Linked DNA regions of Caenorhabditis elegans. The protein of the gene in region 1 interacts with the protein of each later gene in a pairwise test. Each region holds a gene or a part of one and is shown in the gene's direction. Other genes may lie near its edges.

Region 1 (9,121 bases):
AAAAACGTGTTCAAAAAAACTTCACCGAGAAAAAAGACTAAAAAGTCGTATTTCTCTCTCTTCAGATTTCTCTTCAGATGTTTTTTTATGGGCCATTTGTTCAACTTGAGAATTGGAGAGTTGAAAACTCAAGAAAAAAATATATATATACAACAAGTGACGTTTCCCACTCTGTGTCTCCATCTGCAGCCCATAAAAAAAGAAAGAAATATTTTTTTTTTTTCGAAAAAAAGCAGTGAAGAAAAAAGGTTTTGTTAAGATGGAAGAGAAATGACGTAACGCCGGGTTCCACAACCATAGATTTGCGTGTCTACGGGGATTTTGAGAAAGGGACGAGCAAACCGAAGAACCGAAAAACTGACGGAAGTAACCAAAAAGCAAAAGAAAAGAAAAAAGAAAAAGAAGAAGCTGAGGACCCAGCTGGTCGGACTCATGTGACACTGTTTGTCGTTCATAAGAAGCGGGTATTCTATTGAGTTACGGATGTTCTGCGTCATAGCTCTGAGAGCTCTCAAGACAAATTTGATTATGTGACCGTTTGCAAAAATTATGTGAATGCTAAGGATTTTTTTGGTCTAATGAAAATTTCTGGAAGAGAGAAATTCATAATATTACTGTACTTATGAATTTTGAATTACTAATGACTTTTTTGGTGAACATTTTTTTCAACTAATCATTTTGCATATTGTTTCAATTTTTGTTGTTCGGTGTTTGATAACTATATATCTGCGTACTGAAAAGGGCAGAAAATGGAGCAGAAGGCAGAAAAAGATGATGTTCGTCTCAAAAGAAAATTCTCTTACACTACTAAACTCGATTACCGAACAGCCATTTGGGACACCGAACGTCAAATTCAATTATACATTCTATAAAAAAAGAAACACAGCTCAAGGAGCCGCAGAAGGCGACATGCGCGCATTTTCTATAAATTGGATTCAACCTTCGGTTAGATAGTAAATCTTGGAAAAAAATCTTCGAGCTACCTCGGAATTGGGGAAAGGGATTGGGGAATAGTATAAAGTAAAAAAAGTTTAAGGTGAAGTAAGGTCAGTGGGGATATTCTTAAAAATCATTTCTATAGTGGTAAAATGAGCAAATGTCAAAATAGACCTTTTCAAAAAGTTTTGGAACTTTTTTATTTCGATTCAAAAATTTTTGAATATTCAGTTTTCACAAATTTTTTTGGAAGTCGTCGATCGGAAATATTTGTTTTCATGTTTAATCACGTTTAATATATTCATACATCAACTTCGCAGCAGTTAATACATGCGACATTGTTTCAGATTTCTTGAAAAGTTAAAAAATATTTTTTAGCATTTTCCCACCTAGCTTTAAATGAAAACTTTCATAAACTATGTGGCTACTCATTTGCTATCTTTAGAATTTAAAACTTTTTGTTATAAAACGACAATAATTTGTATTTTTCTTCAAATATCCAAAAGAAAACAAAAACAAATTTTCCAGTCTTCAAAAAGTCGCTGTCGATCTACCTAACTTCCGACACAAGAATCTGAAGCTGGAACATTTTTTGTATAAGAACAACAATTTATTTGAACACTTAAAATATTTCTGGTAAAAAAACCTGGTAACTATGAAAATGTATTAGTATCTTTCAATAATTTAAATAATTTTTTTCTGAGTTATTCCTCACTTTTTTTGTCCAACCAGTTGTTATGACCCCTTTTAGGCATAAAAACTCTAATCCTTTATACTCAAAACCGGATGAGTAGCGAAAATGAGATAAATAACAAAACATGGTTTTGCATTACTTTTTTTCAATTTCCGAATTGTCAATGCACGTGATAATTGCAACAGATATACTGATTTTTATTTTGCATTCCGCAATTTTTTAAAAAAGTAAATTTCAATTTTCAATTAATAAAGCAAACGACATACCGTTATTTTCAGAAAAAATAAAATATGGGAGGCAAGAGAATGATACTACTGTACTTTTATTTCTCAAAACATGACCATTGATGGTGAAAGGCAAGAGAGCCGAACCTTCATTGAGTATTCTAATATTGCAAAACGAGATATCACACAAAATGAAGAGAGTTAGAGACACTCCCAACCCGTGTGTCTACTTCATCTTTCCCCTCGCAATCTCTCTTGTTTGTCTCTTTTTCTCTTCTCTTCACCACCCTTATACTCCCGCCGGCGGCGGAACACGCGGCGCGGCTTCGCAGTGCCTGCTTGCCTGCGAATCAAACGATAAACCGCGGCAATTCAAATGCGGCCGAAAAATTCGGGACAAACTATAGGAAGGCGAATTTGAGTGGAAGAGAAGCCGTCGGCGGCGCGTTGCCAGGTGACCGGCCGAGTTATTAAGGGCGAGCGCGAGACTGCGCCGAATTTATATGGAGAGCAGATATAGAAAAAGAATGAAAAACTAAGAGTGTAGCGATTTTGGAGACGAGCCGTCGAATGCATTTTGTGGTTTTACCAAAAAGAAAGTGCGATTGAAGGTTTCGCCTTCTGAGTGTCGCCCGCCTTCACCTCAAATTGCAGTCAAGGTAGAAGCCATCGGGGCTCTGTCCGAGACATGTACAACTGCTCACTATTATTGTACTCTTGTTAATATATATTATGGCAATGCAAAAACAGCAGCTCACGGTACGTGGTTTTGATTTTGAAAAGTAGAAAGGCAATTTGTAATGCTGGTCAGAAATAAATACAAAAAATTTGAAAACTGAAGCAGTTTTGTGAGACCGTGAATATATGAAAATTTGGAAAGTTCATTCCATAGAGAAGTATTTTTAATGTTAGTTTGTTTTTGCAATAATGCATATTTAATGACGAAAATTTTTTAAAAATAAATTCAAAACCTCTAGACTTAGAATTCTCATATAATGAAACAAATAAAATTTAATTATAAATTCTTCTAAAAAATTTACAAAAATTTGGAAAATCACGTTTGGTTTTTAAGCTTTCATATAAAAACTTTAAATGGTGGAGTGCGACCATTGAAAAATTTTATAAAAAATCGTTCCTACTGAAATCACAAAATAGCATAATAAAACGCTCCAAAAAAAACCGCATATGTTTTATTTCGAGATGAAAAGTGATGAAAACAAATAAAACAATTTAACATTTTCAATAACTTTTTGGATAAATATTATTATGATGTTGTTCATATAAGCACGCTAGTAACTTTTTAAAATAATTTACTATTTGACCGCGCCATAAAATAACCAAACTTTGTAGAGTTTTTCTACTTTGTCCTTCAAAGTCACTTTGTTTGCAAAGTTGGCAAAAATCAAAAGCGGTAAAAAATTTCAGCAATTCTTATCTTCTTATCTTATCACTATCAAACTTTATCAATTCGTGTGTCGTATCCGGCTCAAATTTGCAACAAACTTTACCCACTTTGATTCCTAGCATAATTTTTTTTTCCTGGGGAATGTGTGCTAGTCGGGTTGTCATTAGCAATGTAACATGTGTCTAGAATATCTGAACGCAACAATATCAAACGACGAAAATACGAACATTGTGACTAGAGCCGTGATTTGTTTCGCAATTCTTAAAAGTCAGACAAAGAGATGTTTTTGTTGAAAAAGAAAACAACAACGTCATTGAAAACAAAGCCAGAGATCTTTAGATGTCAAGGATTCCAAAAGTTGACGCTTTGAGATTATAAACCGTAAATGTTTTTTTTTGTAAAAAGCCCAGAGAAATTGAAAATCAGGAATTCGATTTCAATGAGACTGATGTAATTCGAAACTATCTAGTTTTTGTTTACTCTCCAACACAGAAATTTGGAAATTGGAATCTGTTTTTGACGAGTCATTGTATTTTTTTTCTTTTTGACTTCATTTCAGAGAACCTAAAATTTCTTCCCGCAATCACCAGGAAATGCCTTAGACATCTAATCACGTTAACCACTATTTTTGTTTTCGAGATTACAAGCCTTTTTTTTACTGCGCCACTATTTTCTTTTCCTATTTTCCAATCAACTTTTTTTTTTATAACTATGTGTACACATTATGTAAAGCTACGAAAAACCAGAGCAATTTGTGGTCATCTATTGAAAAAGAAAACGTTTTTTTCTTGCTTCAGCCAAATTTTTTTCATGTTCGTAGGCAAAAGCATATATACTTAAAGGTCGGAGTTGTACTAGTAGAGGACATAACGTTGTCAAAAAGAAAATGAGTGAAATTATTTATTGAACAGAAGTACTATGCATTGTTAAAGAGGAATGTACGGTGCAATTTTAGAAAGAAAAATCTAGACAGATTCGAAACAGGAAATGATTCAACTAATTACTGTTTGAGGCAAAGGTTTAAAAAAATTATACACCGTATAAATTTATAGTTTAGCAAATTACAGGTTGTGGTACGAGTACGGCCACTGAACTCTGGAGAAAAGTCTCGTAAAGCTTTTCAATGTGTGTTTCCATTGGATAAAAAGGTACCTCGAACATCACTTTCAAAAAAATTGAATTTATTTTCTTTCAAGCGAGTACTACTTGTGGATCCCGAAAAGTTTGAAAACAACATTCTCCGACAAAACCGACAACATGAACGAAAGTTCGAGTTTGATGCATCATTTGGAGCAACATCTAATCAGGTTTTGGGATAAGAATTCTTGAAATTGTGTACTTTGTTTTCTAGGAGGACGTGCACGAAACAACAACTGGTCCTATTATCGACTCAGTTGTTGAAGGGTTCAATGCCACTGTTTTTGCATATGGTGCTACTGGGTCCGGCAAGACGTTTACTATGATTGGAACAAAAGACAGGCCAGGATTGATGACGTTGATGACAAAAACCTTGTATGAGAAATTGGATAATCAATATCAAGTGTTGTTATCCTATATGGTGAGGATAGGGAATATTCAAAAAAAGTCATAAGCATTGGCTTTTATTTATAAATTCTATATATTCAAACAAACCATTTTTAAATTTCTAGACATGCCACATTTGAAAACATATGTTTCCATTAGGTTACGAAAAAAGAATTTCAAAACTCAACTCCATCTTCACACAATTCAACTTAAACTTAGTTAAAACCGTTAGGCCCTTTTGGTCATTCTTATTTAAAATTGTTTGTGAAGAACTATTAGATCGCAACTTTGATTGCTCATCTGTGAAAAAACAAAGAGAAATAAGAAAAAGAAGAAAAACTACAGTAATTTAAATGTTCACAAAAAATCATAAAAATGAGTGATACTCGTGACGGGACCATTTCGCATACACGTCCCTTAACAATACTCTACCGTTGTACACTTATTATTCAGGAAATCTACAACGAAATAATCAGAGATCTTCTAAATCCTAGTGGAGGCGACTTGGAACTATTAGAAGATGAGCGTGGAAACATCCGAGTACCCGGTTTGTCCTCAGTAAAAGCACCAAATCTAACCCGAGTACGTGGTCAATTTTTCCGTGATTGAAAAACGCAGAGAGCCGCTTTCAAGTGGCAATCTTGCGTTTCACAGCTTCACATTAATTCTCTTACAAATTTCCCGCATTTTGTAGATCATGCAAATATTGCAAGAAGGCAATCTACGACGCACTCAGGAAGCGACGATGGCGAATAAAACAAGCTCAAGGAGTCACGCGTTGCTTCAGGCAAGATTCAATCTTGGGGATACACTCCCTGCTCTTTGAGTACACGTAGTTGATCTTTGTGTTTTTTCGAGACATTTTGAGACATAAGATAGCTTTAAAAACATTTTCAGTAGAAGAGATTGAACGTATGCCTGATTTTTTTGACAATAAAAGAAAATAAATAATTTTTAGGTGATGATCGTCAAAAATCAATCTCTTCACAGTAAACTTTTCATGATAGATCTAGCAGGCTCCGAGCGAGCTTCCAACACCCAAGTAGGTCCCAATTCCATTTTCTCCATTTTCATAAAAATCACTTAGAATCGTGGAATCCGGTTGAAAGAGGGAGCTGCAATAAATCGCTCACTGTTGGCACTTGGGAATGTCATTAACTCGTTGGCTTCGAGTGAGTTAAGAGGCTTTCTGGAAAAGTGATTTCAAGAAGTGTAGTCATCAATTAATTCTTGGAAAAAATAAAGCTGTTTGATGTGACTTGCTTTTCAGAGACTACCAAATTTGTGAACTATCGGGATAGCAAATTGACAAGACTTTTGAAGGATTCGCTTGGTTGGTTTTTGACTACATGAACACATAACGAAACGAGCAAATAATTTATATTTTAGGAGGGACGGCGAAAACATGCATGATAGCTCACGTCACCCCATCAAGTTCTAATTTTGAAGAGACATATAACACACTGATGTATGCATCAAGAGCAATGAACATTACCAATAAAGTAACGTTAACGTGTTAAATAGGAACACAGTTTTTATTTTTAGCCAATGCGGAATCGGCCAGCTTCCGCCGATCAAGTTTATGCAGAGGCGATGAATGCGATCAGGAAGGAAGTTGGATCGCAGATTAAGAATTCGTCATCAATTACCGGATGTGAGAAAATTTTTTTGAATCCAAATAGTGATCCATAATGAAAAAAACAAATACTTTATTTGCTTCAAACACAAAACACTACTAAACCTCAGGCTACAAACATAGATTCCAAGCGGTTTTAAAAGTTGGCAAAATATTTTGTCCACTACACTTATCATAATCCAAAACGACGGAATACCATATTGAAACACTCAAAAAAATTTTTAGATTTTTCAAAATTTTCAGTCAACGTTTTGGTGAATAGCCAACATTTAAAAAAAGAAGAGATTTTAAGGAAATCCAGAGAAATTTTGCATGGTCTGAACCTTACACATAATGTTAAAAAAAAATATTGAAACAAAATTATAGTAAAAAACCGTGAAAAAAACATTCTTTCTGGTCGACTTTCAAAATTTGGAGTGGAAAAACTGAGTAATTGCCACTTTTTGAGCGTAAATAACAATTTTCGAATTTTTTTTAGAAAAGTTTTACTATGATATCTGGTCACTTTGGAACCATTGAAGTACTTTAAGCACTTGTCTCACGGGGTCTACTCCATTTTTAAATTTCCAATTCAAGTTGAAAGTGTTCTTTTGAATTTGAATAGAACGCGATTACATTTTTTGTTGCTTTTCAAAGTTAAAACTACATTTTAAAGAAAATTATAAAATAGACAATTTGTTTGAAATGTGTAAACGGTTTGAATCATTGCTGCTGCTTTTTCAGTAAATAAAAAACAAAAAAAAACTGAACTAAGAAACCGCGAGACAAAATCGGTCTGGCCGTAGAGACTCAAGCCTCAAAGACAAAAAAAATAAGTAAATTTAGTAGGAATGCGTAGAAGTACTTCTAAAACTTTCTAACACTTTTATACAATTGAATTTCAGTGGCAGCAAGAAGCAGTGTGCAAGAAAGGAGCAGCAGCCGTAACCGTCCAAAATCTATCTCACGGAATAGCAGCCTAACGAGAGCGGCTCAACCGATGCCGGTCAGTTGAAAAAAAAAACACAGAGACATACATCATAAATTAGTTTCATTTTTCAGATAGACCGTGGGCGTGGAGGATCACTTTTCACACAGCTCAAGGAGCAATACATGACATTGTCGGATAAACAAAAGCGATTGAGGTAATTTGAGGTAAAAATTAATAATGGAATAATTGAAAAGTTACAGGGAGAAATTGATGGCTACAAATCAAGAAGCCTACTCATTAGAAATGTCTTTAATTTCTAAAAATGCAATAATTAATGCTTGGGAGAAGCATCATCACGACAAGACAGCTGAAAGTATTGAAAGGTTGAAAAAGGATGGAGAACTTCAAGTAAGTGTGTTTATCAGTTGTATCTTGGGACACAATGGGTGCAACAAGAACTTATCACTTTGGAAAATTTGATGGGAATTCTTTTTGACTGACTTTCAGTTTTTGATGTTTTTAATGCAAAATCAAAACGAGAAACATAGAAGACAGGTAGTCAACAATGCATACCTTTCATTGACACCTTGCATACCTTTCATTGACACCTTGTCATGATCTGAAATAATGTTTCAAGAGAAAACCGGTCGGTGTATATCTTGTTTTTTCAGCGAGTGCGCCTTGTGGAACTATCTGATCAACGAACTAAAGTGGAGAAGGCACTCCGGAAAGGGGAGGAGAATGCGAGTGGGCTGGAATCTCGAATGAGAAGCCTGGCATCCACTAATGAGCAGCGAGAAGTTGTTAAATTGATGGTGAAGATGGCTGAGATAGAAGCACAAAGTGGGCGTTTAGAGTTATTTTTAGAAACTTATTAAGGTTTTCCGTTTCAGAAATTTCCGCATTGTCGGATCTTGCCATCCGGGGATTGATCATGGATAGAACTGATACATCTATTGCAAAGCTTCAAAAATATGAAATGGTGGCTGATAAGCTGATCGATGGAAAGCTAGACGGTAAGATTGCGATAATGCAATTTAAAATTTTTGAGAATTTTTTTTTCACAAATCGAATAATGTTTAAGACAATGATCGTAAGAAACTTGAAGAAGAATACCGAGTGATCAAAAATCAGTTCCATTATCATCTGCTCCCACTGAAAAACATTCAAACGACGGTCTCGTGGAATTCAATGCTGCTTCCGAAAATTATTAACAACAACAACACAATCATAATAGAGGATCGGTGCGTATGAGTGTTTCCGGTTTAGGTGTACATCAAATTTTCTTATGATCAGACCTGATCAGCACTGTAAAAATCACGCGTGCAAAATTTTGTTTTGATCTTAAATTGTGTGTAACTATAAGTTTTCCCGTATTGTTAAATTGAAAGTCGAAAAATAAATCAAAATTTGTTTTAGAAGTGTTTTATTAAAACTATCCAAAAAGGCTGGGGGTCCTAAAGGCCATCTTAATGTTGGTTGTGCTACAATTTTGTCTGGCTCCGCACTTCTAAAAATAGCTTGTTGCGGAATTTTTATAAACTTTTTGTCAAAGTATAAAGAAATATTTAATTATCTTTAATGTTATTCTAGTTGTCAACGACCAAAAAACATGTTCGAAAATTTGTCGGACTTTTGTCAGCAAGTGACAATTTTAATACAATATTATTATGTTTCACATTTTCAAATGGAAGCAAATGATATTTTCCAATCAATAATATGTTTATTTGTTATTTTCGGCTCTCCCGGCAACTGCTAAAACTGTAGAAAACTCTATTGCCGCCTACCCCTC
Region 2 (5,915 bases), on another chromosome or scaffold:
AAATTAATTTTATTTTATTTTTGAATGGCAAGAAAATACATGTAAACTGAAAATTACTAAAATTCTTTTGGAATCAATGCGATTCCGGCGTAGGAGCGTCCCTGCGACATTGGAGCCTGAAAAAAAAAACGGAAATTAAATAACAAAACATGTTTTAAAATGAGGAGACCCGAAGAACTCGGGGGATGTCCAACTGGGGGGATTACCAACTCGGGGGATTGGCCCCGCCCACAGAACCGTGGCTTGCAATACGCCCATTTCTGCAACTGCCGCACGGTTTTAAAATCATTTTTTCTTGTTAATTCTCGCTCTATTGAGAAAAATACAGTTTTAAAACCGTGCGGCAGTTGCAGAAATGGGCGTATTGCAAGCCACGGTTCTGTGGGCGGGGCCAATCCCCCGAGTTGGTAATCCCCCCAGTTGGACATCCCCCGAGTTCTTCGGGTCTCAAAATGAGATTTTAACTACAGTATTTTATTTAAAGGCGCCTAACACTGTTTCAGGTGGGTCTCACAGCGACCAGCTTTCATAGTGGAAATTTTTAAATAGAATTGAATTTTTCTCACTCAGTAAGTAGTATTTTTCGGTCAGTATTTAATGTATTTTCTTGTAATATTATGTTTTATCAAAACAAAAATTGTCAAAGAAAATTAAAATTGTGAAAACCCAATTTTTAAAAATTGAAAATTAACTACAGTACCTATTTAAAGGCGCATATTACTTTCTAGCTGGGTCTCGCGGAGACCAGTTTTCAATGCGGGATTTTTGAAAGAAAATCTATTTTCTTTGGTCAAAAATCACTTTTCCCGTCAAATTTTACTACTTTTTCTTTGTAATATTATGCTTACATCGACGATTTTCCACTGCGCGTCTGACCTGTCACTCAGCTGAATACATTCTATTGTTGACAGATTGCTCGAGCCGTCGTCGCCACCCACAGCATAGAGAAGACCTGCAAAAATGCTATTACTATTTAAAAATATGATTTAAAATTATTAATTCTACCGTTCAAAGCTGTAGCTGCGGTATTTCTTCTCGGAATTGCCATATTGGCGAGCTCAATCCATTCCTCTCCGATTAATATCTAAATTATCGACTTTTTTGGAGTAAAATATAATTTTTCCCATTCCTACCTCTGCTGATCGGTGAATTTCTGCCCCTTTATGTCCTCCTACTGCTATAATTTTCTTATCGTACACAGTGACGCCAGCTCCTGATCTGACATTCAGCATTGCAGGCCCTGGACGCCATTTGTGAGCTCTTCGATCGAAAATTTCTACCTAAAAAGTGCGGTGTTTCATTTATCGACGTATTTTTCTACTATTAAACCGAAGAATATAGTTTGGAATTTATTTACCACTATAATTCAGCAAGTGCGTCAGCTCACCACAAAACGCACCAAGGGGCTGACGCGTTTCTCGTGCGCCGCTAAATCTCAATTTCTGCAGACTTTTCCCTATTTCCATGCTTTTCATAAGTATTTTGCAGGGAATTTCTAGTTTTTTCGATGAAAATTTTAATTTTTTTAGGCTATAATTCGAGTTTTCTTTTTAAAATGTCGGTATTACTACCTTTAAAGTCAATGTTAATCCAGTAAAATCGAATTTTTCCTCTTTTTTACTTTTTCCTCTCCTCTGTGCACTCTGCCTCTCCCGTAAATTTCGCTATTTTGCTCAGTAGTATTGAACGCCACGTCGAAGCATTGCATCACTTTCCGTCATGCTTTAATAGTATTTCGAAATAAAAATTTACTTATTGTATTTAAGGTACGCGCAGCTTCTTATGGGAATCGTTAGATGCGATTGAACTGTTTCCGGATATTTGTTCACATTCAAAAACCGACACAAATCTTCAAACCGTTTTATCGCTCGCTTTCTTCCGAGGCTTCTGATAAATATCATTTTGTGAACGGCCACGTACGTACTTTTCCGTATAAACTTTAAGAATTGAGTTATTCACTAATTTAATTTTTTTAATTTCAGAAAATGTCGAAGGCCCCAACCGATATGGCGCCATGGCCGGCGTTCATTGAGGAGAGAATCAAACTTTGGGACAAGTTGAAGGCGGAATACGACGCTGAAATTGCTGCCAAAGAGTCTGAGCCAATTCAGATCACTCTTCCCGACGGAAAGATCCACGAGGGAAAGACATGGCGTACTACTCCATTCGAAATCGCCGAGAGAATCTCCAAGGGACTCGCCGAGGCCGCCGTCATCGCAAAAGTCAACGGAGCTGTGTGGGATTTGGATCGTCCATTTGAAGGAAATGCAAAGTTGGAGCTCTTGAAGTTTGATGATGATGAGGCTAAGCAAGTGAGTTTTTTGTTTAGTTTTTTATGGAAATAATTATCAATTTAATTTCAGGTTTTCTGGCACTCTTCTGCTCACGTTCTCGGAGAGGCTATGGAGCGTTATTGTGGAGGTCATCTTTGCTACGGACCACCAATCCAAGAAGGTTTCTACTATGATATGTGGCATGAGAACCGCACAATCTGCCCTGATGATTTCCCGAAGATCGATCAAATCGTAAAGGCCGCAGTAAAAGATAAGCAAAAGTTCGAGCGTCTTGAAATGACAAAAGAGGATCTGCTGGAAATGTTCAAGTACAATGAGTTCAAAGTCAGAATTATCACGGAAAAGATTCACACTCCAAAAACCACCGTCTATCGATGTGGACCCCTCATTGACTTGTGCCGTGGCCCCCACGTCCGTCACACCGGAAAAGTCAAGGCCATGGCAATCACCAAGAATTCATCGTCTTACTGGGAGGGAAAAGCCGACGCTGAGTCCTTGCAGAGACTTTATGGAATCTCGTTCCCCGATTCAAAGCAACTTAAAGAGTGGCAGAAACTTCAAGAAGAAGCCGCGAAGCGAGATCATCGTAAACTCGGAAAAGAACATGATCTCTTCTTCTTTCATCAACTTTCTCCGGGATCGGCGTTCTGGTATCCGAAAGGAGCACATATCTACAATAAGCTCGTCGATTTCATCCGAAAGCAGTACAGACGACGCGGTTTCACCGAGGTTATCACTCCAAATATGTACAACAAAAAGCTCTGGGAGACTTCCGGTCATTGGCAGCATTATTCGGAGGATATGTTCAAGATCGAGGTGGAGAAGGAAGAGTTCGGTTTGAAGCCGATGAACTGCCCGGGGCATTGTCTCATGTTCGGACACATGCCACACACCTACAATGAGCTTCCATTCCGATTCGCTGATTTTGGAGTTTTGCACAGAAATGAAATGTCTGGTGCTTTGACTGGACTTACACGTGTTCGTCGCTTCCAACAAGATGATGCTCACATTTTCTGTCGTCAAGATCAAATTTCCGAGGAGATCAAGGTATTTCTGCTTCTGATTCCGAGTGAAAAATTATTGTTTTAAAAATGTCCCAAAGTCGATTTACGAGAATTTTTTAAAATTCCGATATCAGTTGTTCAATGTTTCTTCATTTTCGTCGGTTTTTTTCTTTTAAATTAACATAAAAATCCAGCAAAATTTTCCGGTTTTCAGTTAGTTAAATATAATAAATTGTCACGAAAAAAAAAATCACGTAAATCGACAAATGGCGTCAAATGAAAGGCATATTTAAAAATTTTCACAAACCTAGATGTTCGGAATCAGGGAAAAATTGCCTTTTTAATGAAAAAAAAACCAACAAAATTTCAGCAATGCCTCGACTTCCTCGAGTACGCCTACGAGAAAGTGTTCGGCTTCACCTTCAAGCTTAACCTCTCGACACGACCAGAAGGATTCCTTGGAAACATCGAAACATGGGACAAGGCCGAAGCAGATCTCACCAATGCGCTCAACGCTTCAGGCAGAAAATGGGTGTTGAACCCGGGAGATGGAGCATTCTACGGACCGAAAATCGATATCACCATTCAAGATGCTCTCAAGAGAAACTTCCAGTGCGCCACAATTCAGCTTGACTTCCAACTTCCGAATCAATTTGATCTTTCCTATTTCGAGTGAGAAAAAAACTCTAAAATCTAAAAAAATTTAATTTTCAATTTTTCAGCGAGAAGGGAGAAAAGCAGAGACCAGTCATGATTCATCGTGCTGTTCTTGGATCAGTTGAGCGGATGACAGCTATTCTCACTGAAAGTTATGGAGGAAAATGGCCATTCTGGCTCTCACCAAGGCAATGTAAAATCATCACTGTTCACGAGTCAGTCAGAGACTATGCAAATGACGTCAAAAAGCAGATCTTCGAGGCCGGATTTGAGATTGAGTATGAGGAGAATTGTGGTGACACGATGAATAAGCAGGTACATTTAACTCCATTCTTAAGATATTTCAATATTAAAATTTTAGGTCCGAAAGGCCCAGCTTGCCCAGTTCAACTTCATTCTCGTCATTGGAGCCAAAGAAAAAGAGAACGGAACAGTAAATGTGCGCACCAGGGACAACGCAGTTCGAGGAGAGGTCGCACTCGACAAGCTTATCTCAAAGTTCAGAAGATTTGCTGACGAGTATGTCGCCGACACGGAAAAGTCTGAGGAATGGGCATAAACTTCTTGTTCGTTGATAATTTTATAATTATAGTATTTATTGGTTCCCCCCACGCGCCCACGTCTTCTAATGCATTGAATTCCAGTTAATTTTTGTGTTCCCTGATTGTTATCCTCTTCGGTATTGCTTTATATATTTGTTTGTTTTTTATTTTATTTCTTCGGTTTTTCTTTTACTCCCCATTTCCCACCAGTGTTTCTCATGAAGTAAAACAAACCGTATTCAGGCATTGCTTTGAGACACCATCGAATCCCCCAATCGCATAGATATCCTCTTCGAACGCTGCCACTCCAACACTTGATCTTCTCGTGCTCATTGATGGAAGTGGAAACCAATTTCCTGTGTGTGGATCGAAATATTCTGCACTCGCAAGCCCGGTAGTTCCATCGAATCCCCCAACTGCATACAACACCTGTTGACACGTGGTTATCCCGTGAGTGGATCGGCGAGCACTCATCTGATTCGCGGAACGCCATGTATCGGTTCGTGGATCATAGAAATCCACGGATCTCACCCGCTGTGCTCCATTGAACCCGCCAGTGGTGTACACGTAACCATTGCACATGCTCACTCCACTTCGGCACCTTCTCTGTGGAAGGGATGCACACGAGCTCCAGAGTTGGCTATCAGGATCGAACAAATCGACGTTGGTGATCGCTTTTGGAGCCTGCCCACCGACGATCATTATGTGCTGGGATTCTGGCATGGGTTCACGGGCGACGAACCATTTTCGGTTGAGCTCCTGAATCGGATAGTGGGGCTCCGTGCTGGAAATGTCTTGCTTCGTGATTTTCAGCTGATGCATTCCTTCGATGATCACGTTTAGACAAGCCGCATCACTTTTGATCATCTCGTCATTTCTCCATTTTTCGAAAAGATAATCATCACCCAGCAATGGCAGGCGAACATTTGACATTAGTCTGAAAGTTTTTATTCATTTGATTTTTGTTTCAAGGTCTCGCCACGACAAATTTTTGTCAAATGCGAAAAAGTCTGCGCTTTTAAGGGGTACTGTAGTTTCGAACTTTCATAGTTTTTCGTCAAAGTTTAAAACTACAGTACTCTCCAAAAGCGCACACCGATTTCTTTTCAACAAAAACTGTCGTGTCGAGACCATATTTTTGTAGTAAAATCTACGCACTCTGCCAAAAAAGGCCGTCGACTGGGCTCTTCATGAGCCACCCAATTCAAGACTGCTTGCATTACAGGCTTCTCACTGGGTACTGTAATTCTGTCATCCTGTATCAACTCACAAAACGCGTCTTTGTCAAGGCTCAGGAGCTCCTCGTTGTCGATTATTTCTCTGGAAAAAAAAAAAGAAATTTTTAATTTTATTTTGCAGGCTTATTTACGCACGCGCCTTTAAGTTTTTCATACGGTATTTTTATGATGAAAAAAAAT

Evidence for each region. Proteins that work in one complex are often made in the same cells at the same time.
Region 2: the proteins of klp-13 (region 1) and tars-1 interact in a two-hybrid assay, tested with the Caenorhabditis elegans proteins (one large-scale study listed by BioGRID).

What each region holds. Positions count from the first base shown.
Region 1 is NC_003284.9:5,982,606-5,991,726, forward strand, and holds the start of klp-13 (Kinesin-like protein), read left to right. Parts: upstream 1-2,383; 5' UTR 2,384-2,586; coding exon 2,587-2,613; intron 2,614-4,326; coding exon 4,327-4,407; intron 4,408-4,455; coding exon 4,456-4,566; intron 4,567-4,610; coding exon 4,611-4,817; intron 4,818-5,236; coding exon 5,237-5,365; intron 5,366-5,477; coding exon 5,478-5,570; intron 5,571-5,741; coding exon 5,742-5,825; intron 5,826-5,870; coding exon 5,871-5,955; intron 5,956-6,053; coding exon 6,054-6,116; intron 6,117-6,172; coding exon 6,173-6,285; intron 6,286-6,328; coding exon 6,329-6,437; intron 6,438-7,303; coding exon 7,304-7,404; intron 7,405-7,460; coding exon 7,461-7,543; intron 7,544-7,589; coding exon 7,590-7,737; intron 7,738-8,000; coding exon 8,001-8,172; intron 8,173-8,222; coding exon 8,223-8,345; intron 8,346-8,413; coding exon 8,414-8,573; intron 8,574-9,121.
Region 2 is NC_003280.10:11,690,145-11,696,059, reverse strand, and holds tars-1 (Threonine--tRNA ligase, cytoplasmic), read left to right. Parts: upstream 1-1,766; 5' UTR 1,767-1,796; coding exon 1,797-1,916; intron 1,917-1,982; coding exon 1,983-2,312; intron 2,313-2,363; coding exon 2,364-3,341; intron 3,342-3,668; coding exon 3,669-3,970; intron 3,971-4,020; coding exon 4,021-4,270; intron 4,271-4,316; coding exon 4,317-4,514; 3' UTR 4,515-4,731; downstream 4,732-5,915. Other genes in the region: kel-1 (BTB domain-containing protein), read right to left, coding at 57-116, 849-952, 1,006-1,084, 1,134-1,280, 4,732-5,434, 5,656-5,817.